3 linked regions of the Oreochromis niloticus genome follow. The protein of the gene in region 2 interacts with the protein of the main gene of each other region in a pairwise test. Links are inferred from orthologs where the notes say so. Each region holds a gene or a part of one and is shown on either strand. Other genes may lie near its edges. The genes, in order: rpl35a, sh3gl3a and atxn2.

The links.
Region 1: the proteins of sh3gl3a (region 2) and rpl35a interact in a two-hybrid assay, tested with the Homo sapiens proteins (2 studies listed by BioGRID and IntAct). The link is inferred for Oreochromis niloticus from reciprocal best matches to the Homo sapiens genes SH3GL3 and RPL35A.
Region 3: the proteins of sh3gl3a (region 2) and atxn2 interact in binary tests that used the Homo sapiens proteins (3 or more experiments, as listed by UniProt). The link is inferred for Oreochromis niloticus from reciprocal best matches to the Homo sapiens genes SH3GL3 and ATXN2.

Annotation. Positions count from the first base shown.
Region 1 is NC_031979.2:39,855,001-39,865,484, forward strand, and holds rpl35a (large ribosomal subunit protein eL33), read left to right. Parts: upstream 1-5,914; 5' UTR 5,915-6,010; intron 6,011-6,920; 5' UTR 6,921-6,954; coding exon 6,955-6,965; intron 6,966-8,393; coding exon 8,394-8,546; intron 8,547-8,640; coding exon 8,641-8,785; intron 8,786-9,870; coding exon 9,871-9,894; 3' UTR 9,895-9,953; downstream 9,954-10,484.
Region 2 is NC_031965.2:38,966,010-38,976,818, forward strand, and holds the start of sh3gl3a (endophilin-A3a), read right to left. Parts: upstream 5,006-10,809; 5' UTR 4,827-5,005; coding exon 4,782-4,826; intron 1-4,781. UniProt on the Homo sapiens protein: Implicated in endocytosis. May recruit other proteins to membranes with high curvature.
Region 3 is NC_031977.2:24,314,813-24,326,001, forward strand, and holds the start of atxn2 (ataxin-2), read left to right. Parts: upstream 1-5,923; 5' UTR 5,924-6,566; coding exon 6,567-6,679; intron 6,680-8,364; coding exon 8,365-8,395; intron 8,396-8,825; coding exon 8,826-8,885; intron 8,886-9,252; coding exon 9,253-9,324; intron 9,325-9,956; coding exon 9,957-10,107; intron 10,108-10,965; coding exon 10,966-10,980; intron 10,981-11,189. Other genes in the region: mapkapk5 (MAP kinase-activated protein kinase 5), read right to left, coding at 377-412. UniProt on the Homo sapiens protein: Involved in EGFR trafficking, acting as negative regulator of endocytic EGFR internalization at the plasma membrane.

The sequences.
Region 1 (10,484 bases), on a different chromosome or scaffold from region 2:
TAATGTGACCAGATTTTAATGCTGCACCTGGTGTAGGCGGAGCTAATCTACTCCGCCTGTGTGTGCTGATTGTTACAAGTGATAATAATGAGTGCCTTCACCATGAAGCCACATCTGCTTGTGTTTGAGCAGCGGTCCAAAGAAAATCCTCCACGTGTGACAAGCCGAAAAAATAAAAGCTTACCACCTTTGACCTTTGACCCCTGGGTCTGAGGTAAAGCGGGTAAGATGATCATCTGATGTAAGAACAAAGAAAAATAACCCAGAGGCAAAGGGGGAGGTGGTTTATTCTACCTGTCAGGTTCTCTTGTGAATCCGTGCAGTTTAACATCTGTGTGACGTTGGTTTTACATGCAGTCGGTCACCTGTGTGGGCGGAGCTTAGAAACTAATATGCGTAATTATTGAGCCCGTGTTAAACACAGAAGACTCAAAACTATAAAACTCTGTTAGGTGGATCGTTCTGCTCATTCCAACGTTGGCTCTCACAGAGCGGCTTAGCGTGAGTCGTGTCATCCTGAGCCTCAGCTCAGCCGCTGTCTCACACAAGCCGGTTCAGCTCCTCCACCTTTAAACGTGCTTTATTCTGATTGGCTGCATCTCACAAGCAGAAGACTTGAACAGTAGATGGGTGGAGCTTCTCTCTGTGACATCACACAGATTAAGGAATAGAAAAAAACTCATAATTCCCAGTAGCTGCAGACACACTGAATTTCCTGTTTAACATGAACATTTGCCATAGAAACAGGAAGTGAGAAAGGGAAAAGCACTTTAATTAAAAAAAAAAAAAAAAGATAAGTATTTAATGTTCTCAGTAACAGCTGATTGATCAATAAAACCTGAAACTGTCCTGTCTCACACTGAGATAAAGTTGCAATGCTACTAAGGGCTAATGGAAGCTAACAGCAGTTTTGTTTTGTTGTTTAAATGACACTAATGTATCTTGTGGCTAATATAGCTTAAAGTTAATATTGGCAAAGATAAACTTATTGTAAGCTACAGTTAATGGCTATCTGTGACCTGGCTAAGATGAGTGTGCTTACTTTAAAATGATAATAGAAATAAAACTATTCCCAGATTACCCGTTGCTAACCGTGACGATTCTGGATTTGCTTCAGTCTGAAAATGTAACTGACTGTTAAGGCTAACACTATTAAAACAGAATAAATGTGTTCAATCACGCCGATCATGCTAGTCATGTTTGCAGGGAGTGAGGCGTAGCAGTCTGTTAACTAGCTGCTAGCTGGGAGACTAGCTTGAAATAGGTAGCTATAAAAGTATCGTGATGAGTTCAGAGTTAACATGAACTACAGCTAGGAAGTGGCCTAAGCTAACGAGTAAGCAGTAATCTAAAATTGAATAGGCTCTCTGCTAACTCTGCGTAAGACTATAATAAGACTAACTTTATGAACTGTTAGATTACATTACTTAATATTATATCTGACACAGTTAGCTTGAAAGATACTGACATTTCAAAAGTGTTCCGAAACTATTTTAACACGGCTAACTGGTAAAGAAAGCTAACACTAATGGTACTCTTATGTCGAGCTAACCACAGAGGGTAGCTAAGATGAAGTCAGGTGAAGGTAACAGCTTGTTTCTAATCTGAAAACAGTCGACGATGGCTTAGTTTATAGCATGATTGCTAAATGCTAATGTTACAGTATTGGGTTTGAGCATGCCCAGTACTGATATTGTCAAAGTAATTATTTATTTTTCCTTTTTGTTTTTGTTTTTTTTAAAGTTTATTTAGTTTTAGTTTTATTTATTTTTTTTTTATGCTTTTAGTTTTGCTTTAGGGGGCGGGGCCACTCTTCTGCCACTCATCCACCTGTGAGCTACTTGCTCACAGTTAATAATAGCCCAAAAGAAGCAGCGAGGGCAAAGTGTGGTTCGGTTCGGCTCTGTTCGTCTCCATCTTTCCTTATTATGGTGAACACTTTCATCTTGCCGCTGATGAAGAGGAGGATGTCTGAACCCTGAACTCTGAATGGCAGGATGTCGTCTCTGTATAGTTTTTACTAATGTCACTGTGGTTTAGGTCAATCATGTGACCTGGCTTTGTGATCACCTGATCGGACCTTTGTCACATGTACAGATGAGGGTGATCGGGTGGTTTCTGTTGCATGCTGGGACGTTTTTCACCTTGTAAAGGTGGCCCGACTGTTGTGTACAATTATATCCTGTAAATAGAAACGTACTGATGATGCTCTGTATATGAGGCCGAAACCTGGGTGTTACTATGACAACAGAGATGTTCGTGTTGCCATGGCAACCATGGGGGGGGGTTCTTCTCCTGTCAGTGAAGTAAGCAAACCGCTGCTGTACTGTAATTTTATTTATAAAAGTTTGTCCTGACAACAGTGATCAAAGCGATACCTGCTTAGCGTCTCACTCCAACTGGAGCTCCAAAAGGCTCCAACTGCACAAACACAGTCAGGAGGTGCAGTTCAGGTGAAGCAGACTGCTAGCAGCTGTAGCCGCCTGTGTCACCATCCACCTTTCAGTCAGAAGCCACGCCCCTAATAATGCAAACAGGTGTCATGAACGGGCCGGACAGTTTGTGTATCAGGCTGTAAACGTGTGTGGGGCTGACTCACTGCTGCCTCTGCTGGACATTAGAGGAACTGCAGCACAGTGAGCCTGCCGTCCTACAGTGGGCATGGCCTCTGTGTACAGTGATGTCACGTATCTGAGCTGCTGCTGCTTCACTGACCGGAGGAGAAGACTGTGTTTTTAATTTAAACTGTAAAGATGAGTAAAAGGGGCTGGTGCTGTGTTCAGGTGGCGTAGGACATCAGCATGCTGACACTACACTAAACACTTGCTGAAGTCTCAGCATGAGAGCACAACTTGAACAACCTGAATTATGACAAGCAGGCTGGGCCCCGCCCCCTGAACCACCTCCACCAATCAGCTCATCTTCAGTGGACTCACCTGAGACCTGAGTGAACCTGATGGGACAGGTGAGGCGGCTTAGAGGTTTCAGACAGGTGATGATGTACAAATGTTTTCTTCTTCAGGCGCTCGTCTTGTGGCAGCAGCGGGTCACGTAACGGGCTGTCAGATGGGCGGCTGTTTTTCCACTCGTGTGTTTTTGCTGTTTCAGTCATAAAATAAATATTATAATATGGCTTTGATGCTTTTATTGTGTCAACACCACACACAGGAAGTGGTGAAAAACATGTGGCCAAAAAACGAGAACGCCATCAGCTGATTGTGTTCATACTGTAAATGTTTCCTATGTTTTCTGTTTTTCTCTCCTTGGTGGTTTTTTGTGTTTCTGTGAATAAAGTAGAAATATTTGTCACAGATGAACGTCACGTCTGCAAGTCTGTTCCCGGGTCAGGGCGCTGGGACAGGAAGTGCCATCTAATATAATATAACACCGATTCATGACTGAAAGTATTCATGACTCCATTGGACGAGCTACGACGTGTCACATCAGGGCTGTTTATGAAGAACAGTCTGACTTTACATTCTTTAATGACACGCAGTGTGTGCTCCCATTGATGCTGCAGTGTCCTGGAGTGAGGGTGTTATTAAACAGCATGGTTTATTACAGTACGTGCAGCAGTGTCCTCACAGGAAGCTCTGAAGCCCCAGGTAACATGTTGCTTTAAACGGTGTCATATCATTCCTTATCAGACACAGTAATCACACCTCCCAAATCCTTGACTCTGAATTTCACATTTATTTAAATTCAGCTTTAATCCTAAAACTTCAAGCACTTTGGCAGCAGTGGAAAGGAAGAAACCTCCGGCAGAACCAGGCTCAGGGAGGGGCGGGGCCATCTGCTGCGACCGGTTGGGGTGAGGGAAGGAAGACAGGATAAAGACATGCTGTGGAAGAGAGAGATTAATGACAGGTGAGAACAGAGAGGGCACCATCATCAGCTCACTGGGTCATTGAAAGGTTCAGATGCTGGTCAGCTGGTAAGGAGCGATGGCCCAGCCCTGATGAAGATGATGTTGATGATGAAGGTCATCTGTTTAAGGAGTGAGGTGTTGATCAGACTTCACGTGTCAGTGGGCAGGCGTGTAACCTGAGCCTCACTCACCTGCTTCACTGTGAGACGAAGCAGAGCTCTGCTTTAATGTGAGGCTGTTCCAGCTCACAGCGCCCTCTGGTGGTGACCTGACTGCCAGCTCCATGGATCATCTTTCAATGTCGAGGTGTGAAACAGAGCTGATGATTTTAGCTGTTCCAAACGCTCTTGTGATGAAAGAGTGACTTTATGGTTTCCTCATTAATGAGTGTTTATTCATCATTATATTGAAGATGCAAGAGCCAGGGAAAGAAGCAGCTTTTACAAGACAACATAGGAGCAGTAAGAAGAAAAATATACATCACTGAAAACAATAAGAATATATAATGACATCATCTTGTTGTTATGGCAGCAGGTAACAAACAGACATCCCATCAGTTATTAGCTTGTGTGTGTGTGTGGAGATGGGAGCGGGGGGAGCTGCACAGTCTGCCATCATCATCATCATCATGACCATCTTAGATGATGACATGAGTGGAACCCCAAAGTGTGCTTTGATTGTAACAATGACATCAGGCTCCGCCCCCTGCACTACTGAACAAAACAAAGTATGAAAAGGAAAGGAAGAGCAAAACAGTAAAGGATATAAAAAGGTCAACATATACACATAAAGTAAAGCATTAGTTAAACAACAAAAACATATTGCACACAACAGCATCTGCTGGGTGGGATTTAGTGTTGTGGAGGCTATGAGACGGAAGCCGGGCCTCAGCCTGAGTTTCACTGCTCTGGTGTCTCCTGCTGATAGCGGCAGATGGAGCAGGTCGTAGCTGGAGATGAGGGCCTCTGCGTTCCTGAGGCAGTGGAGCCGTGCAGCTCTGCGTACACACAGGGGTGATAGCACCTCACGCTGTCGCTGGGCAGCCAAAGGACATCAGCAGTTTCTGGGGAATGGTGTTTGTTCCTGGGGTGACATCGGATAAGACTCAATCCTACTTCATAGTGCAGACCTCAGGTGTCTGCAGGTGAGACAGCTGATGGAGAAGCTCAGAGAAAACAGACTGTAATCAACGTTGGAGTTCTGGGTAAACAGGTAACGCTGCCGTTCAGACCAATCACCACACAGTCACAAGTCCGCCCTCTTATTGATACAATAAAGTCAAATATTTGTATTTTAATTCAATGTCATTTCAAATCAAATCACTTTTATTGTCACATCACATGTGCAGGTACACTGGTACAGTACATGCGAATGAAATTCTTGTGTGGAAGCTTCACAAGCAACAGAGGTGTGCAAAATACAAGAAACATAAGAGCAAGCAAAATATAAGAATGGGAATCTGAGTACAAATATATGTATATGCACATTACTGAATATGTATACTAAATATGTGTGTGTGTGTGTGTGTGTGTGTATACATATATATAAAATTAAATGAAAATAAAATATACAGAGGTGCAAAACAAGTGGCATTCATGTACAGTATGGAGTGCATAATGTTGAAGTTACGGTAAGTGAAGGTGAGGTGTCTATGAAGTGTTCAGCAGTCTGATGGCCTGTTGGAAAAAGCTGTCTCTCAGTCTGCTGGTTCAGGACCGGATACTGCAGAACCTCCTGCCTGATGGAAGTAGTCTGAACAGTTTATGGCCAGGGTGACTGAATAGGTTACATCATCATTATTATTATTATTATTATTATTATTATTATTATTATTATTATCATATTCAATAAAGCACGTTCATGCGGTGGATTTTGAAAATTAACTTTAAAAATATTACATTAACAAAGACAAAAACATGAAGCCATAAACATTTATTATTATTATTATTATTATTAACGTGTGTATTATGAAACTCTGTAAAAGTGTTTTTAATTGTTTCTTTGATTACATTAAAATCTAAAAATAAAATAAATAAAACGAGCCTTTCTATTCAGGCAGCTCCGTGGGCACCTCTGTTTACACTAATTTCCCAGCATCCCTTTCGCTCTTCCTTTTTCTCCTTCTCTTCGGACGCGGTGCAGGTACGAGTCAACATGTCCGCCGGCACATTCTTGAAAAATGCCCGTTAATCTGCTCGGTGGGCAACTGATAGTCCTCCGGGGGGCCGGAGCAGGAGCCCCGGCGCTGCTCGGTTAGTCTGTGTCTACGCTTGAGCTGCTGATGGCGGAGATTCGCTCCGGATAGAGAAGCTAGCCTCGGCTAACGAAGCTAGCCTCGGCTAACGAAGCTAGCCTCGGCTAACGAAGCGCAGGGCCGGGGTTAACCGAGCGGCTTCCGAGCTGCGCGTGCCGGCTCCCGCACACGTGCGGTAAGGAAAGCGTGTGTGGGAGCCCCGGTGCTCGCAGCGGGCTGGAGCTCCCCCGATAAACGCGTCAAACCTGAGGAGCCACCGGCCTGAGCTGTCTCCAATTCTCGTAGTTTCTCGTGAAATAATGAGACGGAAAGAGCCGAATGTTAGGTTAGGTTAGGTGCTGTATGAAGGGAGCCATCGGTTATCGATCAGTGACGGGCTGACCGCAGAATCACACGGATTCCAAACGGCACTGTTTCTGTGACAACCTCAGACACTTGACCTGTGGTCCAAGATGCCTCTGAATAAGTCACGTGACTTTTTACCTGGTAGCGTGGCACATGTTGATTCCACATAAAATGTTTTTTAAGAGCAGTAAATGCATCAGGTCACAGAACAGCATGCTCAGTGTTCCACTTGTAAGGTCATAGCTGACTAAACCTACCTACAGTTATCAGGGCCCGGCACTATAAAGTCGTATTATTGGTTGCCATGGTGATGTATCCTCCTGAAAACACTGCGGGTACAAAGTCTAGAGCTCAAGAAAACATGCTGGTTACCGGCGCCGTAGCTCTCATGAGCCGGTCGATCATGTGATGCTGCAGTAGGTTTTAGGTGTTAATGTGATTGTTTCTGTGCAGGTGAAGTCACCTGAAGAATACCACAACGACCAAGATGCCTGGAAGGTGAGTGCCAATCATTTCACTCTGTGCTCACATGATGTATGTCTGTGTGAGTGATGTAACCTGCTGAAGCTCTGAAACAGGTGAGGGCAGACGGGTGTTAACAGGAAGCGAGTTAACCGTGAGTGCAGAGCGACTTCCTGTCTGCTGTGCAGTGATTCTGGGATGGGTTTAATAAAGTTTTATTCAAACAGGCCGTGATCTGTCAGAGCTGCTGTTCCTCGCTGCAGAGACGCTGATGGTGATGATGTCATGGTTGGAGGTTCACAGATGGAGCGTTTTAGGCTGAAAAAGTACCTGTGTAAACGCAAAAAACAGGGAAACGCTGTCAAGAGCATGCCAAAGCAACAGGTGCCGATGTAATCCTAACATTGTTGAAATGTTGGCCAATCAGAAGCCTGGGAGGGAAAGAGTAAGCATAATTGCCGTTGTTGTAAACAGAGGGACAGTAACTCTGTGTAACAGCAGCAGTGTTTTGTTTCTGTCACTGTAGAAGTTCATCTCATGTGAACAGTAACGTGTCGCACACCTTTGATGTTGCGTGACTAAATCTGTTTTCCTCGTTCACACGTAAACACCTTAGAGTTGGGTCCTGGTTGCTATAGAAACAGTTGAGGGCGCTGTCAGCAGGTCGTTGCTGATGATCTGCGGAGCATGCAGGTGAAGCAGGTGCAGGGTCACGACCCCCGAGCCTCACAGATCGGAGGAGCAGGGTGAAATAACCACAGTGACATCAGCTGGTGGAGTGGGTCACGCTTTGGCTCTGATCAATGAGAACTGGAGTACTGATTGGTTGTTTTTGGATGCTGACAGCAGATAAATTAATACTTGATGTCATTGATCTTGATTGGTCTCAGTCCAGAGCGCCACAGGCCTCTGGGGGTCAGGTTCACCCGTGGCTCCTCCCACTCCAGCTTATTGACGATGTTGATCGTGTCAGCTGTTTCTGGGCTGATTGATCAGTCTGTTTACTGATCATTCTGCAGGTTTGATTGGCTTCAGATGTTTTAAGGTCTGCTGTGATGGGCAGTGTACATCTTTTATTTACAGGCTGTGGACTGGGAACGCCGAGTTTGGATTGGGGCTTTTATTCTGGGCTGTTGGCGTGAATCAGGAACTGAGCGGGTTAACGATGATGTCAAAGAAATACGGAGGGTAGCTTCGTTGTTGTGATTTATTTATTTCCCGCCTCCTGCGTTTGGCGACTGTGGCGTGCAGATTCTGCGTGTGATGGAAGTGTGAGCCGTGGCGGCGTGGATGCGCTCCATCAGCTGATGTCTGGGCAAAAAAGAAACACCATGCTTTGACGTTGGTGAAACCTTCGGTCGGGCTCGGTCTGGAGCGTGAGCAACTCTTTCCATTGGTCAGATTTGGGGGCGTGGCAGCAGGTGGTGGTGGTGATTTTGATGTCTGATGCTGTCTCTCTTTCAGACTGTGGAGTAAGGCCATCTTTGCGGGCTACAAGCGCGGCCTGAGGAACCAGCGCGAGCACACGGCGCTGCTAAAGCTTGAGGGCTGCTACAGCCGGGACGAAGTCGACTTCTACCTCGGCAAACGCTGCGCCTACGTCTACAAGGCCAAAAAGTGAGCTGCCGCACCGCCATCTTTCATTTACTGTTAAGGTTGGCGTGTTTCTAAGTGTGTGTGTGTGTGTGTGTGTGTGTGTGTGTGTGCGCAGGAACACGGTGACACCCGGCGGGAAGCCCAACAAGACCCGTGTGATCTGGGGGAAGGTGACCCGGGCGCACGGAAGCAGTGGGATGGTGCGAGCAAAGTTCAGCAGCAACCTGCCAGCCAAAGCCATCGGACACAGAGTCAGAGTGGTGAGTCACATGACCTCAACAGCTGGGGTCACGACCTCACAGACGCCTCTCTGCTGCTGCGGCGTTTCTGTGTTCTCTGCATGCTTCAGGAGCAAAAGTGCGAACTTTGACCTGCTCCGGCTCAGAGCGCCGTCTGAGCATGCTCGGTCCTGAAGTTTGATTTATTCACCATGAAGCGCCAGCCACAGCTGGAGGCATCGTTTACAGGCGACGTTCTTAATTTATAACATGAAATCAATATGACCGTGAGACTGAGGGGGCGGGGCTTCAGACAGCAGCACTGAGGAAGCTTATCAATATTTGAATAAATGAATAAACTCTAACACAGCAACATGTGAGGAGGCTGAGCAGCGTTTGCACATCATTTCTGTCAGATTAATAAACTCAGATTAGAGCATGTTCATCAGGCTGACAGCCCGCTCCACCCGGCTCCACCCGGCTGCTTGTATTCTGATTCTATTGGTGTGCAGCTGTGAGAATCGAATGTCTTTATTGGCACTATACAGATGTAGAGTGAGATACAGAGCAGCTCCTACTCAGTGCCGACCTGTGGGGGGGGGGTTGGCAGCTCTGTGTACAGATGAGCAGTATTTAGGGAAAAAAAAGTACAAAGAGGAAAAAAATGCAGCTGAGTGCAGATCTGACAACTCCAATTAACCATTGCGTGATGTCACGGCGGGATGTCAGACTGGCTCGGTGTTACAGGAGGTTTAGTGTTGGCGTGTTTGATGATCTCGTTTCGCGGTTCCAAGACAAGTCGTTAAAACCCTGCCCCTTTGTTTCATTGGCTCAGTTTTCTAAATATTTGGCAGAAATGGCGTAGAGTCGTTTGGAGTCACAGCTGGAGGTCTCACCTGTCACAGGTGTTCACTCACTGTGTGACACACTTCCTGTGTGAAACACACATTCGTGCCACTGTTGCCACATCTTCGAACTCGCTCGCCGCTCCGATGCTCTAAAGTCGTCTCAGGTCTTCTCGCCGCTTGCTTCTTCTGTGGTTTCTCCTCCTGTGTGGTAGTTGTATTCTGACGTTCATTTCCTGTGTGTGGTTTTATTGTGACAGTGTACTTCCTGTTTGTGTGCAGATGCTGTATCCTTCCCGGGTGTGAAGCGGAGATGGGGGCGGCTCTTTGTTTGTACAGAAACAATAAAGTGATCAATAATCTGATCAGACTCCCGCTTCTTTGTGTCCCACACGCACACACAGTCTTCATCTACGGGGGTGTCTCACTCTTCCTCTGACTGCAGGGGGCAGCAAAGCATTCTGGGATGTCTTTTAAAGGGTGTGTCATGTCCTGAGTTTGGACTGTCAGGTTGTCAGGACGACGGTGATGATGATGGGGGGGTGTTCAGGTGTGGGTGGTGCAGCACAGTGTGTGATCCCTTTGGCTACACTCTGGGATGAAGTTTGGAATCGACTCCAGGCGTAAGTCTTATATAACCGGACTGTATATAAGCACCTGAAGTGAGCGTGCTCAGAGTGATTGGTCCAGCTGTCACATGGTTGTTTTCTTTTAATTAATGTAACAAGTACAACAATGGCAGCATTTTCAAAGACTTTTTTCCAACTTGAGATAATAGCAGAACAGCCTGTCTTTCAATATATAAAAGACATAAAATAAAATATAACTAAAGAAATTGATAAAATTAAGACATAAAATTTTAACCACTGGGTTTTCTAAAAGCTTTAGTTCATTAA
Region 2 (10,809 bases):
AAAAGAGCTTCAAAGGGAACTCCCACTCCCCCATCAAGGAGTAAAGGGGTACATATTCGAGTTTGGTAAAGATAAAAATGCGATTGGAGAATGTGGTGTTTTTCCTGTGTGGTGTTTTCACAGCTCCAAACACCAGAGCTCCTTTTTAAAAGCTGAAAGTGAGAGCTGTATCAGCCAGCTGTTTGTTATTCACACTCCACATCTGCAGACACTTACAGAGACAGACACAACGCCACCTCCTCAATCGATGTTCGAAGGGCTGCAGCACCTAAGATTAACACTTCATCGTCTACGCAAACCTGCAGAGACAATCTTAAACATTCAAATTAAAATCAAGGATAAAACTATAATCTCTCTATATAATCTGTAACTGGTATGACCTGTACAAACGAGAGAACACACCCAGTTCATATAAACTGGGTTCATAACCGTGTGCTCACACCACAGATAACCCCCTCACTGTCTTTTGTACGTCTCACTAACAGCTCCCCCCCCGCCCCCACTCCCCGCCTGCCCACCCACCTCACCAATCTGAGTCTGAGTAACCCCCATCACTCACACACGGACTCCTTTCAGACCAAGTCTTCTCTAATGTGGGCCTTTCTCTTATTTTGTACATATTGCTGTCTACTGTTTATATTTTGTTCCGGCACAGTTGGTGTGGAGCACCCACATTTTGTTGCACATGTACAATGACAATAAAGGGCTATTCTGATCTATTCTATTCTGATCTATCCTATTTATATAAATATAAAGTAATTTTTTTTTAAAGCAATATTGAACACAGGCGGTCACTGATGAATAAAAGGTTCGATTGTGCTCTTTATTATGGATTTATTTTTCTCTTATTCATGCGCACAGTCACACAGGGCTGCAGCCTTTAGCTGACTAATTATCGCGTTATGTGGCTAAAGATAATAATAACACAGGTCCAGGCCTGTAACGGCTCATTGTCACTGTGAGTGTTTAACTGCCGGGAAAGAGAAGAAATCAGCACTGACTGAAACAAAGCCAGGCCTCAAAGAGAGGCTGAGCAGAGCTGCTCACAGCTCTCCACGAAGGTGGAAACCAAAGACGGAAATATTACCTCAAACCAGCACTTTTTTCTCATGGCCAGCAGGGGGCGACTCCTCTGGTTATAAAAGAAATCTGATTACAGTCTATGAGAAGACGAGCCTGCTGCTCACGTGATCTCTGAGCTCATTACACACCCTGCTGATGAGTTTACAGTCTTACTAAGGCTACGTTCACACTGCAGGTCTTAATGCTCAATTCCGATTTTTTGAGCAAATCCGATTTTTTTGTCTGCTTGTTCACACTACACATAAAATGCGACATCAAACGCGCTCTAGTGTGAACGCTCAAAGCGGCCCGCATGCGCAAAAGAAGACGTCACACACAACTCGCTCTGTTTAGACCCAGAGCAAACAATATTGTTTGACTGATTGCCCTTAATATAAAGACTTCAGACTTTATGTTTCCAAATTTTTGCTTTAAGTTATTTTGTTATTTACATAATAATGTAAATAACCTAATAATGATCCTTTTTGCTGTTTTAGAGGAGCGGTGCTTCAAAGGATAGTTGCAGATTTCTGTCAGAATCTGCAGAAAATACAGTAAAAATAAAATGTTCACATTTCTCCAACGTGGTCTTCCCAACAGTTTCACCGGATGGCAAGAAATCGTTCGCGATGTCCTATCGGGCGCTTCTCCGGCGCTGATAATTGGCGTCTGTCTTGTGTCAGTGACGTAAAAGACGGATTTAATGCGACATGACAGTTCACACAGCAGTCGCTTTCTAAAACATCGGATATGTATCGGATTCAGTACCACATACGAAAGTGACCCAGATCGGATTTGAAAATATCGGATTTGTGCCGTTCACACTGTCATACCAAGATCGGATATGGGTCGCATAGGGGCGAAAAAATCGGATTTGATGCGCTTTCGCCTGCAGTGTGAACGTAGCCTAAATGAAACACGAGGTTCATTTTGGAAACGACGGATCTACTAGACGCACAAAGGAGCATAAAGAAGACTAACACACCAAGCTCTTAACGTTTTAGTTTAGGTTCATCTGCAAGTCTGTACTATGAAGCGACTTTGACAGGATCCAGGATATCTTCCCCTTCATCATCGATCAGGCTAAGTGGTCACACGAGGTGGTTATCAGGTCCATAAGTCCATAAGTGAGGGTTTCCCAATCTGCTGCGTGCAGTTTATTTGAAGCAGGAAGTAGAAGCAGAAAAAGTGACGACTGTGTGAGTAAACAGAGTTTTGATATAAAGTCCACAAATACAAACAGGCGTGGCATCAGATAGCAGTGCTTACAGGGCTGTAAAAAATAGAATCAGCTATAAAGTTGTGACTCAGAGTCTTTATCTTACTGATGCTCCGTACTCTCTGAGGCCTGATGGAACTTTCAGGAATTCTGACGCTATCTTCCAGACATCTTATTGGTCAGTCAGTGGTGACTTCATACCTATCGAGCGCTCATCTCAAACATAAGTGCATCGGAGCAGGTTGGGTCTGCAGCATCAGTTACCGTGGCGATTTATCCCAGTTAGACGTTTACCACATTCACAAACAGGGTTAAACCTGAAGTTGCCTCAATAACCGCAGCAAAAACCTCTGCACTGACTGTTAGCTCAGCGGGCTAATGCAATCCGCGGGATACCCTCTGTGTCTTCCTGCTCTCACGACGCATTGTGATGACATAACACACAATAAAAATAGACTAAAACCAACACACAAGTCCCACTTCCTACGACAAATCAAATCAGTTCATTTCTACTGCCCCACTGAGCCTGAGACCAGATCTGAAACACGTTTAACCAAAAAACAAGCTGGAAACTATTCAGGGGACATGATTAAAAACAGTTTACACCATTCACATAAAAACACAACGGTAAGCTGGACGGAAACTGTAAAGGCAAATCAGAGAACAGCAGAGATAACATTCTCAAGGTTACAACAAGAAAGAAGTGGTTTAAAATGTATATAAACGTCTTAAAAGGAAGACGCTCGCTTTGATGACAGATCTCCACCACGGGGTGATACCTGCAGCTCCACAACGCGCTGTGCCCCGACCTCTGTTAAAACTTCGATACTCAGTGACTCATTCGGGGTCGTACTGAATAAAACAGACTTCTTTGAGTTTGTGAAGATGTTTCAGTTCTCATCCAAGAAGCTTCTTCAGTTCTAAAAACAAAGGTGGAGAGTCCCAGCTATTTAACCCCTGGGTGGGGTTGTCCCCTTTGGAGGTGGTTGTTAAAGAACTCTTAAAACAGTCCAGTCACCACCTTTTTTCAAGTTCTTCAGACTACCATGAGAAGCTACGCGGACATACTGAATCAAACATTCAGAACATTTCCCAAATCCTGGTCCTTCTCGGCTTTCACAGTCAGAATCCTTCTTTTTAACATCATTTTTAAAAACAACAAGATGGCAATCGTAGCTACATCTATCTTCTATACCATCAGGTTTTGATTTAGTTTCATTTGAAGGAGTTTATTAGGGGCTTCTGCTTGGTTTAAAGTGCAGATATATCAGAGTATCATCAGCATAAAAGTGATTTAAATATGAACACAAGGAACAGCTGCTAACGTGACAAAGGGCCCACAATGGAGCCCTGTGGTACGCCACAAGCACAGTCACCAATACTGATGGAAATCAATATTTCTCGCATGCTCTGCTGCATCAAACGCAACAGAGAGATCAAATCATGCAAGCTCAGCTGATTAAACCAGCATCACCAGTACATATCATGCTATCAAAAGTATTCAAAAGTACAGATTCAGTGCTGTTTAGCAAATCCCGCTGAGACTGATGGAAGCTTGTATCTATGTATGATGGAAACCAGCCTGTGATCTACTGATAACTGGAGCAAATTCTTATTTATAGATGAAGATGAAGGTTCACTGAGACTAACAGTCTGTGAGCTGTTTCCATGTTATTCAAATGTTAGACATTACTCACAGCCGCCCACAAACCACAGTGTATTTTGGTGGCAGTGGGAATAGCAGGTCCTTCCACTGGCTCAATGTATTTTTATCATGTAACGTTAAAAGGTATTTGAGTCTGATGGAGCTTCACCCAGATAACACAAACCGTACAGCCCGGGAGTGAAATGCACCTGATAAAGACTGCTCCACCTGCCTTTAAATGACTGTGTGGCGCAGGTGTGACAGGTGTGAAACATCTGGCTGGTGCCTCAGTTCCCACAAACATCGCCATGATGCCTTAAACACGGGCTTCATGTGTGATTTCCTTTCAGGGGATAAAATCAAACCAGACCTCGACCTAAAGCCTCTCAAAACATTCATAATAAATACAGTTACGTGTACTTCTCTGTTAGTGTTTCCTGTTGGTTTTACAGTGGAAACAGCAAAGTCTGATGTTTCACAAGACCGTGTCAAACTTATAAGGCAACAATAATGAAGACGAATTACTCAGCGGATTACATAAGTTGATAAAAAGTCCATAACTGTGGCTTAAGATGAATAGATTTGTGCGTGTGTGTGAAATTAAATTAAATCACCAGATTTTCCCAGCAGGGTTTGGTGTGACGTTATCTCCGATAAAAAACAACTTATCTGGGTGGAAAAGTAACGCTCCATCCACACCCTGCAAACACGTTTTGAAGCCCTCGATTTTTAAGCGATAACAACTCAGACTCGTCGTGTTTTCAGACCAACTACAGCCTGATTCCGTTCACGGTTTGATGTTAAAGCGGAGATCAGGGTCCACATCCGAACTGTTGTTGTCGGGCGCCTCCATACCTGACTGGCTTTGTGGAACTGCTTCTTCAGCCCGGCCACAGACATCCTGGACGAACGGCTTCAACCCCGCACAAAATACTCCGGTAAAACGACTCAACACACGGCCGACGGAGGCTGGGCTCAAGAACGAAGCAGCCGACACCACAGCTCCGCACTCATCAGTCAGCTCCGTTAAGATTGCAGCATGACCCGAGCTCAGTGAAGCTCCAACGGCGTGAGGCCGGCCCAACCGGGAACTCCTTCAAAATAAAGGTCTCCGAGGATTTAAAAAGCTAAATGATAATAAATGCATGACATCACTGAGCAGCAGGGCTGGACTTGGACATTAAAAAAAAATGTATTTGAGGGGGAGAATATGATGTGTGCATGTGTATTTTTCATTTTGTTTGATTCCTGATATTGAAATTGTTTCTCGGTTGGTACAGTTGTTGCTGGGTTACTTCTTTGTTGCACACTGAAGCTGTTAGGAGTGGCTCCTGATCAAAGTGGTCGTGCATTTTACGTGAATCCTTGATTATTCCAAGATTCTTTATTTGCCACTTGTCATAAAAGTACAACACACAGTGAAATGTGTCCTGACTGTGCAAAACATTATAAATAAATAATTTATTTGGCTTTTATTTATATCTTATGTAATTTTATTATACGATTCCAATGTACAGCACTTTGTGTCAGCTGTGGTTGTTTTAAAGTGCTTTATAAATAAAGGTGATGATGATGATGATGATGATGAATAAGTAAATCCAAATTAAAAATCCGAAATTTTAAATCAAAAAAACTGAAAGTGTACATTGTGCAAATGGAATGTTAAAGTGCTTTGTGCCACATTAGCAGAGCAATGTACTAAATCAGATATGATATGAAATATGACAGTGAAAGTTCTGCAGTGTAACAAGAATATGATATGAAGACCCTTATGGTGATGCTATGAGGGGAGTGGGGGCATGTTCTGGTTCAGGACTCGGATGGCCTGGTCTTGAGGCTCTCTGTTTTTGCCCTGATGGTGTGGAACCTTCCGCCTGATTGCAAAAACAGTTTGTTGCTGGGATGGGACGAGTCCTTTAATATCCGAGCTGCTCTGGACCAACATCTCCTGGTGTACATGTCCTGAGGGGAAGGGAGATCCTGTTATTGATCCCTTTACCTTAGTCTTAAAGTGTATATTTATTTCTTACTCTTCTTATATTTAGTGCTTGTCTTTTGCACTGAATGTAACTGGAGCCTCTTCATCCCTTCTCTCTATATACTGTACTGTATATAGCAGAGATGACAATAAAGTTTACTTTGACTTCGACTTGAGAGCAGACCTGCAGCAGAGCTCTGCCGCACAGATCACTCTGTGAAGAGCTTTTCGGTCCTGAACACAGCTAATCCCATACCAGGATGTGATGTTCTGTGTGAGGATGCTCTCCACAGCACCTGAATAGAAAGGATCACTTAGTCCCTCTATGTTCTGAACACATTATTTTCACTTTTCTCTGCCTCTTCCTCACTCTGCTGTTGTCCCTCCTCCTGCACGTCTTCTCGGCTGGTGCTAAATTTGACACATTTTGTTGACACATTTTGACCTTTTCACCACTTCCTCCAAGCTAAACTCTCTTTTACAAGTTGCATGAGGGGAGGAGTTAAGGGATTTGATTGGGCAGTGTCGGTAATGTAAATAAGCGAATGGATGCTGTCAGCATGTGTAGGGTCGGTGGGTAAATGACCGGGAAAATGCCCGACATGCCAGATTACCAGTCCAGCCTGTTTCTGTTGGAAAAAATAGGTTTAAAAACGTATTTTATATGCATATATGTGGTTCTCTGAAGTTCCACATTTCTGTAAACGAAAAAGTAGCTCTTAGCAGTAGCATATTAGGACTATAAATAGATCTATAACAATACATTTTAAAGAAGAAAATGAAGGTTCTGGACGAAGGAGAATAAAAATAAAAGAAATAAACTCAAGGTTATCACGTCATACATCTATTGAAAAAAAAAAAAATTCACAAAAACGGTGGTTAGCACTGTTGCCGCACAGCAAGAAGGTCCTGAGTTCAATTCCACCATCAGGCCGGGGTCTTTCTGTGTGGAGTTTGCATGTTCTCCCCGTGTTTGCGTGGGTTCCCTCCGGGTACTCCGGCTTCCTCCCACCGTCCAAAGACGTGCAGCTTGTGGGGATAGGTTAATTGGATAATTCAAATTGCCACTAGGTGTGAATGGTTGTCTGTCCCTGTGTGTTGGCCCTGCGACAGACTGGCGACCTGTCCAGGGTGTACCCCGCCTCTCGCCCTATGACAGCTGGGATAGGCTCCAACGCCCCCCGCGACCCTGAAAAGGATAAGCGGAAGCGAATGGATGGATGGATATTTAATAATGAGTGTGAAATGTTTTGTCACACTCACACTGAGGCGGGGGTGTGGGTATTATTTTGGAAAGAAGGAACCGGAAGTTGCGTTCACGTACTCTCGCTTTATTTTCCGGGAGAGAGGGTTTCCTGACTCTCAGAGATGTCGCCACTTCTCAAAGACCATTGGGTGAGAGCGGGGAGAACTGATGATGTCACCCTGTTCGTAAACAGGATGAAGCGTTCATATACTCGATATATTTATTTATTCAGTCCCACGCACGTGTCTGTGGCTCACACGTCATCGTAAATCATGTAAATAAGCGTCTTTGCTCCGTTCAGTTGCGCCTCCTGAGGTTCCCACGCGGATCCCTGTTCTCCATCAGCGGCTCTTTCTCAGCACAAACTGTATTTCCTGTGTGGAATTTGAGTGTCTCACCTGAACATGAATCACGCTCTGCGTGTTCACACAGCTTATAGATCTGAGGCAGCGACGCGTTTCACTTTCAGTTCAACATTTCAATCAGTGCACGCTCTGCTCCTTTTTTAATTGTAGGAAAGTCCGTGAAACAGAAACGGACGTGACTACAAATACATAACGCCTCTGAAGTTATTTAAATAACTGCACGTGGAGCCAGATGTTAGGAGTTTTGTCCAAATATGAAATATTAAAAGAGTCCGTGCAAACTCTGAGGCTCCTACAGACGTCTGAACAGCGCCACCTGCTGCTAAGGAGAGGAACGATCGTCAGCCTGCCCTCTGCTTTGTTTATCAGCTGGAAGTTTAGATTACAGTAACACGTGGATATAAAGTACTTTGAAATGTGAAAAGTTAAATTTAAAGACAGTTTATTGTATGTTTCAGTGCCAGATTTTACATTGTCATGTTATTAATGACATTATTCTGAAAACTGTGGAAAAGAGAAGCAAATCCCGCCAATTCCACGTGCTTTATCCATGTTTGGGGCAAATGAAGTGCAGCAAAACTATGAGTGGAAACGTGGCTGTGTGTAAAGAACAGTCACGCGTAATGGACAAACAGAAGAAACTGAATAACAAAATGACGCCAGTATCTGTAATATTATTAATGTGCAGTGAAGTTGCCTGCTTTATTTACGTTGTCTCACTTCCTTTCCTCATCAGTGATTGGCTCTTGTGTTCTTTTGTCTCCTGCTTATCTCCTGACAGAAATCCTTTTAGAAAGACTTCAGTTACTTGTTGCCTTACAGTGAGTATTGTAGTCCTGTTAGCTGTACTGTTACTGCACGTGTTTGTGTTTCTAGTGTATTTTAGGTGGTCTGTGAGTTATGAAGGAAAATACAATAATTAAAGCCCATTTGAACCTATTCACAGTTTACAGACAGTTATAATGAAACTGAAATCTTTACAGGTAAGACCACCAGAGCACACGCAGCAGGAGACGAGAGAACAGCACCCAGACAGTTACTACATAAACTCAAACTCTCCTGGTCTTTGTCACTTTAAGTTCATCAGAAAGTCACAGCGAGCGTCAGAGCGGAAAAATGATTTTTGTGAGAAATCCCCCCGATTTACTCCGACACCTATGCCTCAGTTGATCATGTGAATACTGCTCGTCACCGCAGTGCTCACACGCCACACCTGCAGAGAGACGAAACCCTTCAATACCCCGAGGAGATTTTCCTTCTTCATCCCAAAGAATCAAATCCTTAGCAAAGGATTTATGGAAAAACCCTGAATGCAGAATCCTGGTTGTACACAACAGGAGTGCAATCCCACACAGCAGCACCCGATCAGCATCATGGAGCAGTACAGTGAGAGTCACGTTATACACTACTGTCATATTCATTCAGAACTAACAGTATTTATAAATAGATGCTGGGGCTGGAGATGTGCATAATTATTATGGTTTATGTTTTATACTGGCACACTTTTGCACTCGCAACTGACCAGACTGATGGGACTGTTAATGTTCAGCTTCCATTTATAGTGTTGTATTCATGATTTCAGGTGCACTGTGTAAACAGTGTGATGGTTTCTAATGTCTGTGTGGAGCTTTACTTACCACCATCGCGAGATTCAGTGTTCATGTAAAAACTGATGTCATGTGTGGAACATATGAATGCCCATGGTTTATATGCACGAGTGCCCCACACAATGCACAACTGAACAAAACCAGAGCTGCTGCATTCATGTGTCCCACACACTGATAAAAACTGCATAAAACTATTGAACCATGCAGTACCTGCGACACAGGCTGCACAGCGTAGTGGGACATGCGTGACAACTATAAGAAATGAGAGCTCACAAAGTCTGAAGGGATCATCTGAGTTTATTAAAATACATTTTTACTTTAGCTTACTGTATTATGTCCACCAGTACATGAGCATACTGCAGTACTGTTTGGTCTGTTTGTGTTGTTATTAATGTTATTGCTAAAGCATATGTTTGACTCGTATACAAGCCGGGAAGCTCGCCTCTCTAAGCTGACTTTACTTACATGCAGTGAGCTAAATACTGTGAAAAACGATCCTACTTAATCAATAATTTTAAAGATTAATATGGATAATGTTGTGCTGCTGTGTGAGTAGCTCTAAATTTTTATATGCAATATTTTCACAGTACTGTAAGTGGACTGGTTCCAGGGGAAAACTGTCCTGGTGGACGCGTAGCAGAGCAGTCACATCCCTGAACGTAAAAATCTGAGATTATTCTGGGAAATAAATGAATGTTGAAACTTTCATCTCACCGTCGAAGCCTTCAGGTTTCTGCAGAGATACTTTGAAACTTAGATTTCTGCATCTGGTCAGTATTCTGCAGTCGTTTCTATCTCCATCCTGTGTTCCAGTGCACGATGTCACATCCCAAACTGGGGTCTTCATCGCTGTCAGAGAACATCTGGGTGGTGTCGACACTGAAGTTCACCACTGGAAGCTGTGGAGGCAAAAATGGTAAACTTTTGTTACAAAATAAAATAAAATACATGGATTATGTTACTTTAACAAGTGGAAGTTAAAATGATCCTGATATGAACATTGATTTTAGGAAACGCACTCTCTTTTCCTGTATTCAGTGTTATAAATATTTTGGAACAGTTATTGATTCAAAGTTTAATTTTAAAGCAAAGCGTGACGCTGTGTGTAGGAAGCCGCAGCGCTGCTGCTCGAGAAGCCTCTCTCGTTTCCACGTTGATTTGATCATCCTTCATCCGTTTGATCTTTTCCTTTGGTGTTTGGATATTTATCTGAAAAAACTCAGTCAATCAGCTGATTGGTGAAGCACAGCACACGGTTACAGCGGTTGGCTGGTTTAATTTTCCTGGATGACTCATGCGCTGCACAGCGAGTTTCAGTTTCGTCCTTCTGGAGGTTTCTGCTCCCAAAATGTAAAACAACAAGCTTTAAAAATAGCAGCAGCTGTTACTCAGATGAACATATTATAGTTTTGTATTTGCTATTGTTGTCTGTTATGGCTGTACTGAGAGTGTTCATGTGTGGATGAATGACTCACGACTGCAGAACAAATCTACCTACGGGTACAGATAAAGTAACCTGACAGATCACCCGAAACCCTGGCTGATTAGGTCCCACACCCGCTTTCACACCTTGGCTCATGTGATTAGAGGATCACCAGGGGGTCCTTTGTCCCTCCTTGGGGGGATACTCCCACTGGGTTTAAATCTGGGACTCTCGGCCATTTGACCTTAGAACTGAAGAAGCTTC
Region 3 (11,189 bases), on a different chromosome or scaffold from region 2:
AACTCCAGATCACATTTTACTGTTGACATAGATGCCAGGGCAATGACACACTGAGGGGAGCCAGCCAGGATCAACCCCCAGATCCAGTTTGCAGGGAAATATGGCTGGTTAATGATCATGACCATTGTTAAATAGGTCTAAACTGCAAAGAAATGAATATTATGTTTTTTTAAACATGTTCTACATTTCTGCCATGCATATCACACATAAAACTCATCTGCTGTCAATAAATATGAGTTTATGACTGTCTCATGAAATAAGATCAAACTGCCCTCTTCATGTAGCATGCATTGAGCAACAGCTTTAAAAAGATAACAATATTTCCATCACCTGTGTGGACCAGTAACCAAGCAGAAGAAGTGTCATTTTAGGTTACCTTGATGAATTTGTCTGCGTTGTTATCCTCCGACATGGTTTTGTGCTCCGGACAGATGAAGTCTGCCTCCCCAAACTCAGACTGAACACAGTGGAAACGAAGTGTTTGTGTCTTGTCTGACCTTTATAAAGTACCCCGGGCTGCACCAAGGCTTTCTATACTTCTAGTTATAACAGGAAAAGGCCATCGGGGCAAAATGATACTCGGCTACAGATCAACCAAAGCCGAGTGCCGTTCCCTTGGAAAACTGAAGCCCAGCAGCTGGTACGATTTAACGTTAGATCAGACCAGCTCGGCTCACAACCTCGGGGTCCGACTCGCTCTTCCAGTCGTCTCAAATTCACTGTAGTGACCATGTAGAGGGGCAAACTGCGAGCAAGGTGACCAGAAAAGAGAAGTCCAACAGGGACAAGTCCAGCACTTTTGGAGGCGCAGCGAGCAGGGGGACCTTATAGTGGTATTTTTAGCCAGCGCAGTGAGCGCAGTGCTCTGCTAACGCTGCGGAGACACTGAAGACTGGCCAAGCTGCTGTATGCTGCTACATTTCACGGTGAAAGCAGCCGATTACATAACAAAGACAACAGTGAACAATACGGCGGAACGAAGATACTCTCTGAAAATTAGTGATAGTACACTAGGTGACACCTGGGTTGATCTGACAAGAAGAGCACACCGCGTTCTCAGCAGCAGGACAATCTATTATGTCGTCGAGCCTTCTGACACGCTAGCTAACGAGCTAACTGAGTCGCGTCGGTTTTCCTGCTCCAGTCAAAGCTAGGGATGTTAAAATTCTCAGCAGACTGTGATAACTATAAGAACTCGTATGGAACAGCAACAATACATAGCAGATGACAGGAGCTATCGGAGACTGCATTCAGCGGTGGCCAAAAGATATCCGCATCTCTGGACTGTTTTGCTAATCCCATAGGGGTCTTGCCAGAGCAATACGCACAACGCCTGTCCGAACAGAACGCCTGATCAAAATTATTGACAACATTTCTAAATTTGGACAATATGTGAGGCTACACGTTTTAATCTATCACACACTACGTAATTTTCGGCGTATAATACATGTATTTGTATTTTGTATTTTTGAAACAACAAATTATTTTTTACAATCGAATACGTTTGAACTGGATACACTGTAATGGGTCCTTATAAGGACCTAGTTTTCAATGCGGACTCAAGTCCCATAAGCAGCATTGTAAACTACCAATTACTTAACAGTGGAAGAAGTTGAACTACAGCAGAACTACCCCTGGCGGAAATATAGTTAAGCTCAACTTAAAAATCTACACATTATAGGAAATTATATTATATTTAAAAAGTTAAATGCCAGAAAAAAACAAACAAACAAAATATCAACCATCACACTTTAATTCATATCAGAATGTGCTAAAATTAATTAATTAAGGTCATTTGTAAGACACCTACCTTCCAAAAAAAAAACTATCCCCTCAGGTGGAGGATCCATCAATGCTTTTACTGAATTGGAAATGTGTTTGGGATCATTGTCATGCTAATGGTACTGGACTGATAATTCCATCAATTTCCAGAAGATCCCAAACACCACTGGCTGAAATGCAGTCTCAAACCATAACAGAGCTTCCAGCGTGTTTTACAGGTGGCTGTAGATATTCACTGTTGTACCTTTCTCCTGACCTCCTCTGTACATATTCGTGACAATTTGAACCAAAAATGTCAAATTTAGACTAATCATTCCATCAGACCTGTTGCCACCTGGTTTCCATCTAGTTCTTGTGTAATTTGATATACATCAGTCTTTTCTCCCTGTTTTTCTTCTTGACAGGCACCCTTTAACTGACAGGCCCTCTGGTGAGGGCTCAGCAGACCAAATGCATCTCTTAAGGACCAGATAAATCTCAGGTGGTCTGTGTCAGATCTTTGCTGCATTTCCCCCCATATTTCTCAAGGACATGATTTTCAGATACTGTTCATCAGATGCAAACAGTTCTTTAAGCCCGTTGCTTTTTCTTTTGTCCTTCCCCTGTCCAGTTTCCTCAGTATGCACACTATACTGAGAGTTGCCACATTTTCAGCGTATCTGTCTTTGGTAATCACCTTCTTTGGCATTTTTCATAGATTCAACAAAAGAAATGGGGGCAAATTTTGCATTTTTGTGAAAGGCTGCTAATAACAAAGTCCCCAAAGGTACAATTTAAAATTGGTTCTTTGCTAAGATGGCTGTTATGTGTCGACACATCACATTGGTCGGTGTTAAGTGAAAAAATACTTAGTGGGAAGAATAAGAGAGCCTGGATAACTATTGCTCTCGACCACTTTAAAAATGCTAAGAAAGTCTGGCTTTGGAAGTAAAATATAAAGAAACGAGAGGTGGGTTTGTTTTTCTGAAAGATTCAATGTGGTACTTTTGTACCACATTGAATCTTCAAGAAAAGCTAAACAAACTGTCCGAACAGTTTTTGTTCTACTTGAATCACTCTGCAAATGCAAATGTAAATTAACCACAAGCAAATTATTGAGAAAAACTGTTCAACTATGTAGTGTTCTAGTGCCCAGGACTATCCATAAAGTGGTATGTAACTATGCGTGAGTGGCAAGTTTGTATGAACAGCTTATCTTCTGTAAACAAAAAGCTATTTATCGAATGCTAAATGTTTTTTATATTTACTTTATGTACATGTTATTTACCTTGTGGACACATGATTATATCTAAATGTTAATGCATGTGCACATTATAATTTACTACAGGTCTATATGTCAGTAACAGTGTCAGAAAACCCAGCTAATTATGTTTTCTTCGCACCTCAGAATGTCATACAGTGAAATCTATGCTGCTCAAGCACGTAAATAGGTGGAAATTTCTTGCTACACCACCTATACTACTATACAGTCCTTTAGTTAGTGCTCAAGTTATGTGCAAGAGAAGAAGGAATTTTATTTTATGACCACCCAAGGTGAAAATAAAACTTGATAAGTGGAGTTATCACCATCACATGCATTTGATGGTGTTAGGCACTTATGGGCTTTTATTTAGTGTGCACAAGTTATCTTGTAAGATTATAACTTGTCCAGTCAAGATAAGAAACATCATACCAGAGAATCCATCCCAGAGCAAGTACTAACAGCATCAGAGTATTGCACAGCACTGAATCATTCTATTTACAATTCACCAAATGTGTTTGTCTGTGGGTTCTTTGCTGTGTCGGGTAGATGAAGAAAAATAAATGGAACAAAGTAATCACAGCAAGACTTTGGGGTGGGGTTTTTATGTATTTACTATTTTTAACTAAACCATCAGTTGGGGGTACATTGTGGAGGACAAAATGGGAAAGACTAAAGTGTTATGACAAGATTAAGGAAAGGTCAGGTCATTGCAATTCTTTCTTTATGGTTGAAAAGCATAAAGCATTTTCTCCCTCTCTCACTTTTTTCTTTTTTGAGAATGGTTAGATGGCAGACCTTTGGGCCACAGTCCAGCTCAGATAGTGGTAGTGCAGCTGAAAGATGTTTGCCAACCATAATAAATCCAAAAGAGGAAGACAACAGAAAAATAGCACTAAATAGCACTTGATAGGCATACACTTTGTTCAGGATAACATCTTCAACAACAGCTTCAATATTAATACCATTTTAATAATTTACATGACATAAATATTTATGAATCTCATTTAATCCACATGCTACAACATTAAAGTGGCAAATGTATCCATCAATACCTACTTAAAGGACTATGTTTATCTCTTATTGTTGGTCTTTACATATGTTTCAGTTCCATATAAATTATGAAGTAATATCTTTTGATTATTATAGAAAAGAAAGTCCTGGTATTTCTTCATGCAGTGACTCATTATGTTAGACCAACAGGTCAAACCTTTGAACTTTTCTCAATAATATATTTAAGATTTGACAGTGGAAATTTTAAATGAAAAACAGGACAATGACAATTAATATTATTTATTTAAAAAAATATTGGAAATAAACTTCAGACACAACATCCACATGTTATGAAAGTCTTTTTTCCCAATGTTATTTATAATATTATAACATTATATTCATTTTTCATTTGATCAGAAATTAGTCTCTCTTTCTACTGAAAAAGAAAGACAGATGGAAAAAACCCAGGAAGATCAAAAGCAACATTCAAAAAATTAGAAGAAAATTAAAAAATGCTGAATTATGACTATCAAAATAAGTGCAGCATGATCCTAAATTGAATAAGGAAGAAAACAGATACTCGAATGAAAATCCCTTGCAATGACTGCCTGAAGTTTAAAACCCATGGACATCACCAAATCCTGTTTCCACACTTAAGTTGCTCAGTTAGGTTTTTACTGCAGCCACCTCCAGTTGCTCCTTGTTTGTGTCGCTCTGCCCTTGAGTAAGTGAAAAGCATGCTCTGTTAGATTGAAATCAGGTGACCAACTTGGCCACTGAAGAATATCACATTTATTGCTGTGAGAAACTTTTAGGTTGCCTTTGCAGTAGGCTTTGGGTCATTATCCATTTACATTCCAGTCAGTCTTGCACTATTTCTCTTTCTATTTCTCAGTTCCACTGGCAGCCCATACCTGCCCATGCAACAACATTGTCTCTACCATATTTGACATTGTGGGAAAATGAAATAAAATAAAATTTAAAAGGTATAGAAATGGGCAAGAAAACACAATTTTCAGGCTCATGTGCAGCCCTGGTTCCTATTGCAGATTTGTTTTGTATAAAGGGATGCTGCAAAAGAATTTAAGCACAATCATGCACTGCATAAATGTTTTGCAAAGTGGGAAAAAGTATTTAGACTTGTTACGTAAGTAACAATTCTAACTTTGCTTAACTACCTTAATAGTGCACAGGGTGTATAATTAAAATATATAAGTACACAAAGTTAAAGGACTCTCATTTTTTTGGAATGGCGTGTTTCAAAAATCATTATTTTTGACATTAGGTGACATTATTGAATCATTAGTATTTATTTTTTGAGGTTTAAATCACATTATTATAGATAAATCACTTTATATTATCAGTAACTTTATATAAAATAACAGAATTTATTAGAAAAACAATAATAAATTAATAAAGTAACTAATAGAAATAGTATAGTGTATTACAACTAATTACATTCAATATATATTGGAGTAAACATAACATAATAAGCAGCAAAGCATGAAAAAATTATATAAAGTACAAGAAAACAACTTTGGAAAGGGGGGTCAGATCTTAGGGGGATTGGTGCCACCCAATGCCCCTCTCCTAGACACGCCCCTTAGCCCTACTAGTTAGTTTTCTAGGTCTATTTATTTTATTTTACTTTGTTTTTTATTTGATGAAACTTTTTTTTATCCCTACTTTGTTTTAGTTTAGTTTACTAGACTGAAATCCTCTTTGTACAGCTGCCTTGTCATATCAAGATTGTGGAAGTTACACCAGTTATTAACGAAAAATGGGACTATCTCAAAGTGACCCTCCAATCCTGCTAATTGGAAACCTTCATGCTGCAGTGGATGCTAGCCATCACTATGCCCACACCCGCCGTGTGTGTGTGTTTGTGTGTATGTTAGTAGTGCGTTCGCCGGCTCACGTGGATGACACTACATAGTAATTGAAAATTCATGGACTTCCTGAAAATAGTGCCATGATGTAACTGTGTCGCTTTTAACACAAATGTCTGCATTGGGTTTTTACGTTAAAAATGGTCTTGTTCATCTGTTTACAAGATTAATAGTTTTCAAATAACACAGCGTATAAAAATATAGAGTGAAGTGTTGCGAGCCGTCACGCCTCTCATATCCCTCCGCTGTTTTTGTCCCCCTTTCAGGCTGTTTTGGTCTTTTCGCTGTTAGCAACGGAAAGAATCCGAGATAGCTGCAAACCCGATTTTGAGATAATAATTATATAACAAATTGACAAGAGGTGTAACACACATGTTCATTTCTGAAAAGTTACTAGAGCGTGTTGTCTTTTTAAAATATTATTTTTTTCAGTTTTAATAGGAATTGTACGGGTCGCTAATTTAGCTAGCAACTGTTAGCCAGGCTAGCTGCTTAGCAAAGCATCCTCCTGAACAGGCACGTTGACTTTAGCCTGCTGGCTAAGCTAGGTCTTCGGATTGCCCAACGTTAGTGAGGTACCGCACAACCGCACACCGTCTCAGCGTCAAGAAATTGCGGCGTGAAACTGGTCTGTTAAAGACGCTGTCTTTTATGGGATCACCATGTCAATGAAGGCCGGTGGAAATCGCAGCAAGCCCGGCGGTGGTAGCACCGCTGGTGCAGCCGCCGCCTCCGGTGCCGGAGGAAGCGGCGGGGGAAGACCGAATCTGGGCAGGTATGTGAAATTAAACATTAACATAGCGAAGCAAAAACACAGCAAGGAGGGTTGGTTTAACACGTTTTCGATATTTGGCCATAGTCACTGCCAAACGGTAGCGGTTGTAAGAGATGACATTGCCGTTAAGTGGTCCAAAACTAGTGCGTGTTTGTGAACGTTGTGCGGGCCTTGCGACGTGTTGGTCAGCCAGTTGTGCAGTTCAGCTAGCGAGGCCTGCCTGTCTGTTTGGTCCAGTGCTGTTGCAACTTTCGACGTGACATTACCTGCTCTGGCACGTTAAATCAAACATGCCACCACGAGGTTGATTTTGCATAAATACATGTTCGGGTGGACATTTATCTTTCCTCATATGTGTGTAGTACTAGTGACGCTGCTTGCCAAGTTGCTGATATCAGTTTACTCTAAGCTTGAAGCCAAGTCAGCTAGCGTTAATTAGCCAATTGACAGCCTATGCTTGCATTTCAGTTTTGTAACAGTTGGCTAATGGGGGACACGCAACTGCATTTGTTGTGTTTTGGCTGCCATGTAGCTTTGTACGTTACCGCAACATTGCTGCAACGGGGTTGCCAGGAAATGGATATAAAGCGTGTGGGCGCTCAGAAGAAAGGGGCGGGTGTGGAAACGGGGGTGAGGTGGAGGAGGAGAAGGGGGAATTACAGACCGACTGGCTTTCAACCTTGACGTTGCCATTGCTGTTCGTGAGAAATAGTGTCCTTGAGGCATGACTTTCTCTGTACACGTTGTCCCAAGATGAAGATAAAGCACACTGTCAGTGCATGAACAGCATGCATGCTGTGATTTTTGGTGGTCAGGCTGCTGTTCACCGGTCACTAGGACAGCACGCCCCATTCATTGCGTAGGATTCATCGTGAAGATGCTATAAATGAATATTGGACCAGTTTATAACCATGCTCACAAAACCTGCACATTACAGCTCAAAATGGCATGGCAAAGTGTGTTTTAGAAAGCTTAGGGCTGATTTACTGCAACGGATATAATATAGGGGTTAGTGGCCATTGCTTACGTTGAATGGTTGGTTATGTGCCAGCTGCTGAACAAGGTGCATTTTAGGACATGCCTGGGAAAACTGTTAGCTGCTGAGTGTTTGGCTCGATTGCATCACAAACATCATTATTATAAGCATAATGTTGTGGAGACACTGGGGAAATTTCAGAATTTACATTGCACATTGATCAAGTAAGATGGCTGTGTTGATGGTTGTGGTGATGTCTCCACAGCTGGAATCGATAGTGATGGTAATAAATCTTATATTTGATAAAACCAAAGTGATTTCATTTTCATGTCTGCAGCTGCAAACATTTCACATGTGCTCTTCAGTCATCATCTCAGTAAGCATCATTATAAGACCCTCATGTATTCTTAAACCTGGTTCTCTGTAGTTTGCTACAAGTGATTGTAGTATGCAGATACGTGCAGTATGCTTTGAAAGTATATTGTAGAAATGAGGTTAAGGTTAAAGCAAATTATATAGCTTGTGTTGATCAACTTCAAGTGCAGTTCTGTATCATCTTAATCACTGCCTCTTATGATTTCTCTTAGTGAGTTGCACATATCAGAGCATGTGCTAAGTGAAGTCTTTATTTATTTTATTTTTTACAGTTGATGGTGAGTTTGACAACAATTTAATCAAAATGCGATTTTTATTTTTTTCTGTCCCTCAGGGGGAGACACAGTGGCAAAGGTCCAGCAGCAGTAAGTAACCTATTATCTCTCATATACATTTGAGAAACAAAAATACCTTCAAGCTTGAGTATTTTAAAACACACTTAAAAAAAAAAAAAAAAAAAAAAAATACAGATTTTTGAACATAGTGATGGTGTTTTTCCTCTTGAGGAAGGCATAATGTCATTGGTGGGCACCAGAATTTTTCTTATGCAGGAAAAACCCTCACAATGCTTTAACACTTCTTTTTCTTCTTTCCTTGTCAAGTTTTTGAAAATAGTTTCCTGTTTTTAAAGCATTTTAACGCCAGAGAAAGCATAAATCCAGATATCGCATATGCCTTTTTAATTGCATTAAGAATGGAACAAGTTTATTGGTATTCCACAGTGATGAGACATTATTTGGCATCTTTTTTGTGCTCAAAATGGGAGCATCAAAATTAATTGTATCTTTTCTTTAGGTCATTTTCAATGGTGTATATGCAAATATGAGGATGGTCCATGTCTTGACTTCAGTGGTGGTACGTTTACTGTGTGCCTACCTTGTTCCTTTTTTTTCTGTGTGTAATGATTATAAGAATATGCATAGTTGTAAAATTCCTTGGATGAAGCAGCCATGTGAATCATGCTTACTCTAAGTGAATTAGTAAGAACAGTATTTACTGCAGTCTGTTTTACCACATGCTGTTTCTTCAAATTGTTTACACAGCACTAAACAAAGCCTGTTTGTAGAGACAGCTGGTTGCATAAAAGGAAACCAGTGATTGATCAATCACTGGTTTGCCTTGCAGAAAAATGGGTTTCTGAACTTATATTTTTTAACATGTAAATTAAAATTTGTACTGAACGGCACATACCGTATATAACGACAAGCCTCTTTAATTGTAGGGGACCAAGTGTGAGCTTAAAGTGAAAAATGGAGCCATCTATGAGGGAGTATTTAAGACCTACGGCCCAGAGGTAAGGCTCATGCATAATGTGGTATTCTTTATTGTGCCAGTATGGAGGGAAATCTGTTACTTTCTCACTAGCTGAATATGATTAGGCTTAAATGTGATGGAGTCTTGCTAGCACTTGTTAGTAGTTTCACCCCTAAGGTGGTTTAGACCTGCATTGCTTTTTCTGATATGTGAGCCTTTACCTTCCCTTTTAGGTTGAATTATTTCCTAAAAATAATAATCATAAGTAAATTTGAGGTTTTCCTCTAATTCAGATCTAAGCTAGTATGCTGATGCCAAGATTACACCAAGTAGTTTAATTGATAAGATCCTCTTTTATGTGATTTATTTGACTAATAGTTAAAGTAAGCCCGCTACAATTTTCCAGATCTTTAATTCATAACCATACACCACAAATCTTTCTTGTGATGCTTAAAACAGATCACTTGAGATTTCTCAATATGTTTTAGTTTTAGGGTTGTTCTTGAGATTGTTTATAGCTGTTTTGTTTCTCTAGCTACTTGTGGAGTATGATGAGCATGAAAGAGTTCATTGTCCCAGTCTCCTGTGTCCATAGTTTCTTGTGTCTTTTGCAGATAGTGTTTTTTTATTTTTTTATTTTTCTGTGTTTCAAATTATATTTTTCTCCCTCAGTGTGACCTGGTGTTGGATGCAGCCCACCGAAAGAGTACAGAACCGAGCACAGGGCCCAGGAAAGAAGATATTGTAGAGAGCATCATTTTCAAGGCTTCTGATGTCGTAGTTGTGAACTTCAAAGATGTGGACCTAAATTTCGCAAGGAAAGGTAGTGTGGTCATATTTGTATTTTTTTAGTTATTGAAACTGGAGATGTTATCTTGCGCATATTGAAAACTTATGGATGATGTACAGTGTTAACTGGGTGAGTTTGTCACACTGTTCATTTACACATACGAAAATATAAACGTATGTCAGTGAATTCCCATCTTTGCATACATACAATGTATTACCCTTCTCAGTCTTCTCTATCTTGATGTTGCAGAGGCTTTTCTGTGAGTTAAGTCTTGTGTGTCTGCTCAGAGTGGCCAGTCACTGAAGTCTAATTTGATCTATCGATTGGTCCAAAGGTTACCCTAGTGCGACAAGGACACTCAATAAAGGCTGAAGGAGCCTGCTTCATGTAATTCATGTGCACCCATATGATTCTGCTTTGAACGATAATGGACTCTGTGGGAGAGTTTTGTTGTCTGAAAATATACAGGCGTGAAGGTGTGAGGGGTTTTGCTTCATGATTTGAAACTATGGCACTACAATGATGCCACTTCACTTTAACAACTTGTGAAGTGAGTGAAATTTACACAGAAAGATAAAACATCAAAAGTACCAATGTTTGTCTGCTTGCCCCTTTGTTTTTTTTAAGAAATGCAATCTGTGCTCAATAAGTGATCAGTTGAAATCATGGCATGTGAGGAGTGCGCTAGACATGGCTTGACTAAAACTCTGAAAAATAGACCCAAGCTCAAATTGTTAGAATTGAGTACCTTTACAACTTATATCTAGGTGAACCATATCATAAATATGTCTGGTATGAATTTAACTGTTGGTGTGATTGCCAGTCATTTTATCTGTCAGTCATTCTTCTGACTATCTGTCATCTGTGTGTCTCTCCTTTCCAATGGTCTAGTCTCCTCAGACACAGGTAATCTATGGCTGTTTTCTCCTTTTGCACATCTTTGTATGCACTTAAAAATATGTACTGTGCTCTTATAGTAGACCTGTTAAATTAGAATATTAAATTAGAAATGGAGCTGGGCGATATAACGATATGTATTGCGAAATAACTTTTTCTTGATAGAAAAATTAAACTATTGCGATAGGCCTCATCTCTCTTGCGCTCTTAAAAAAAAA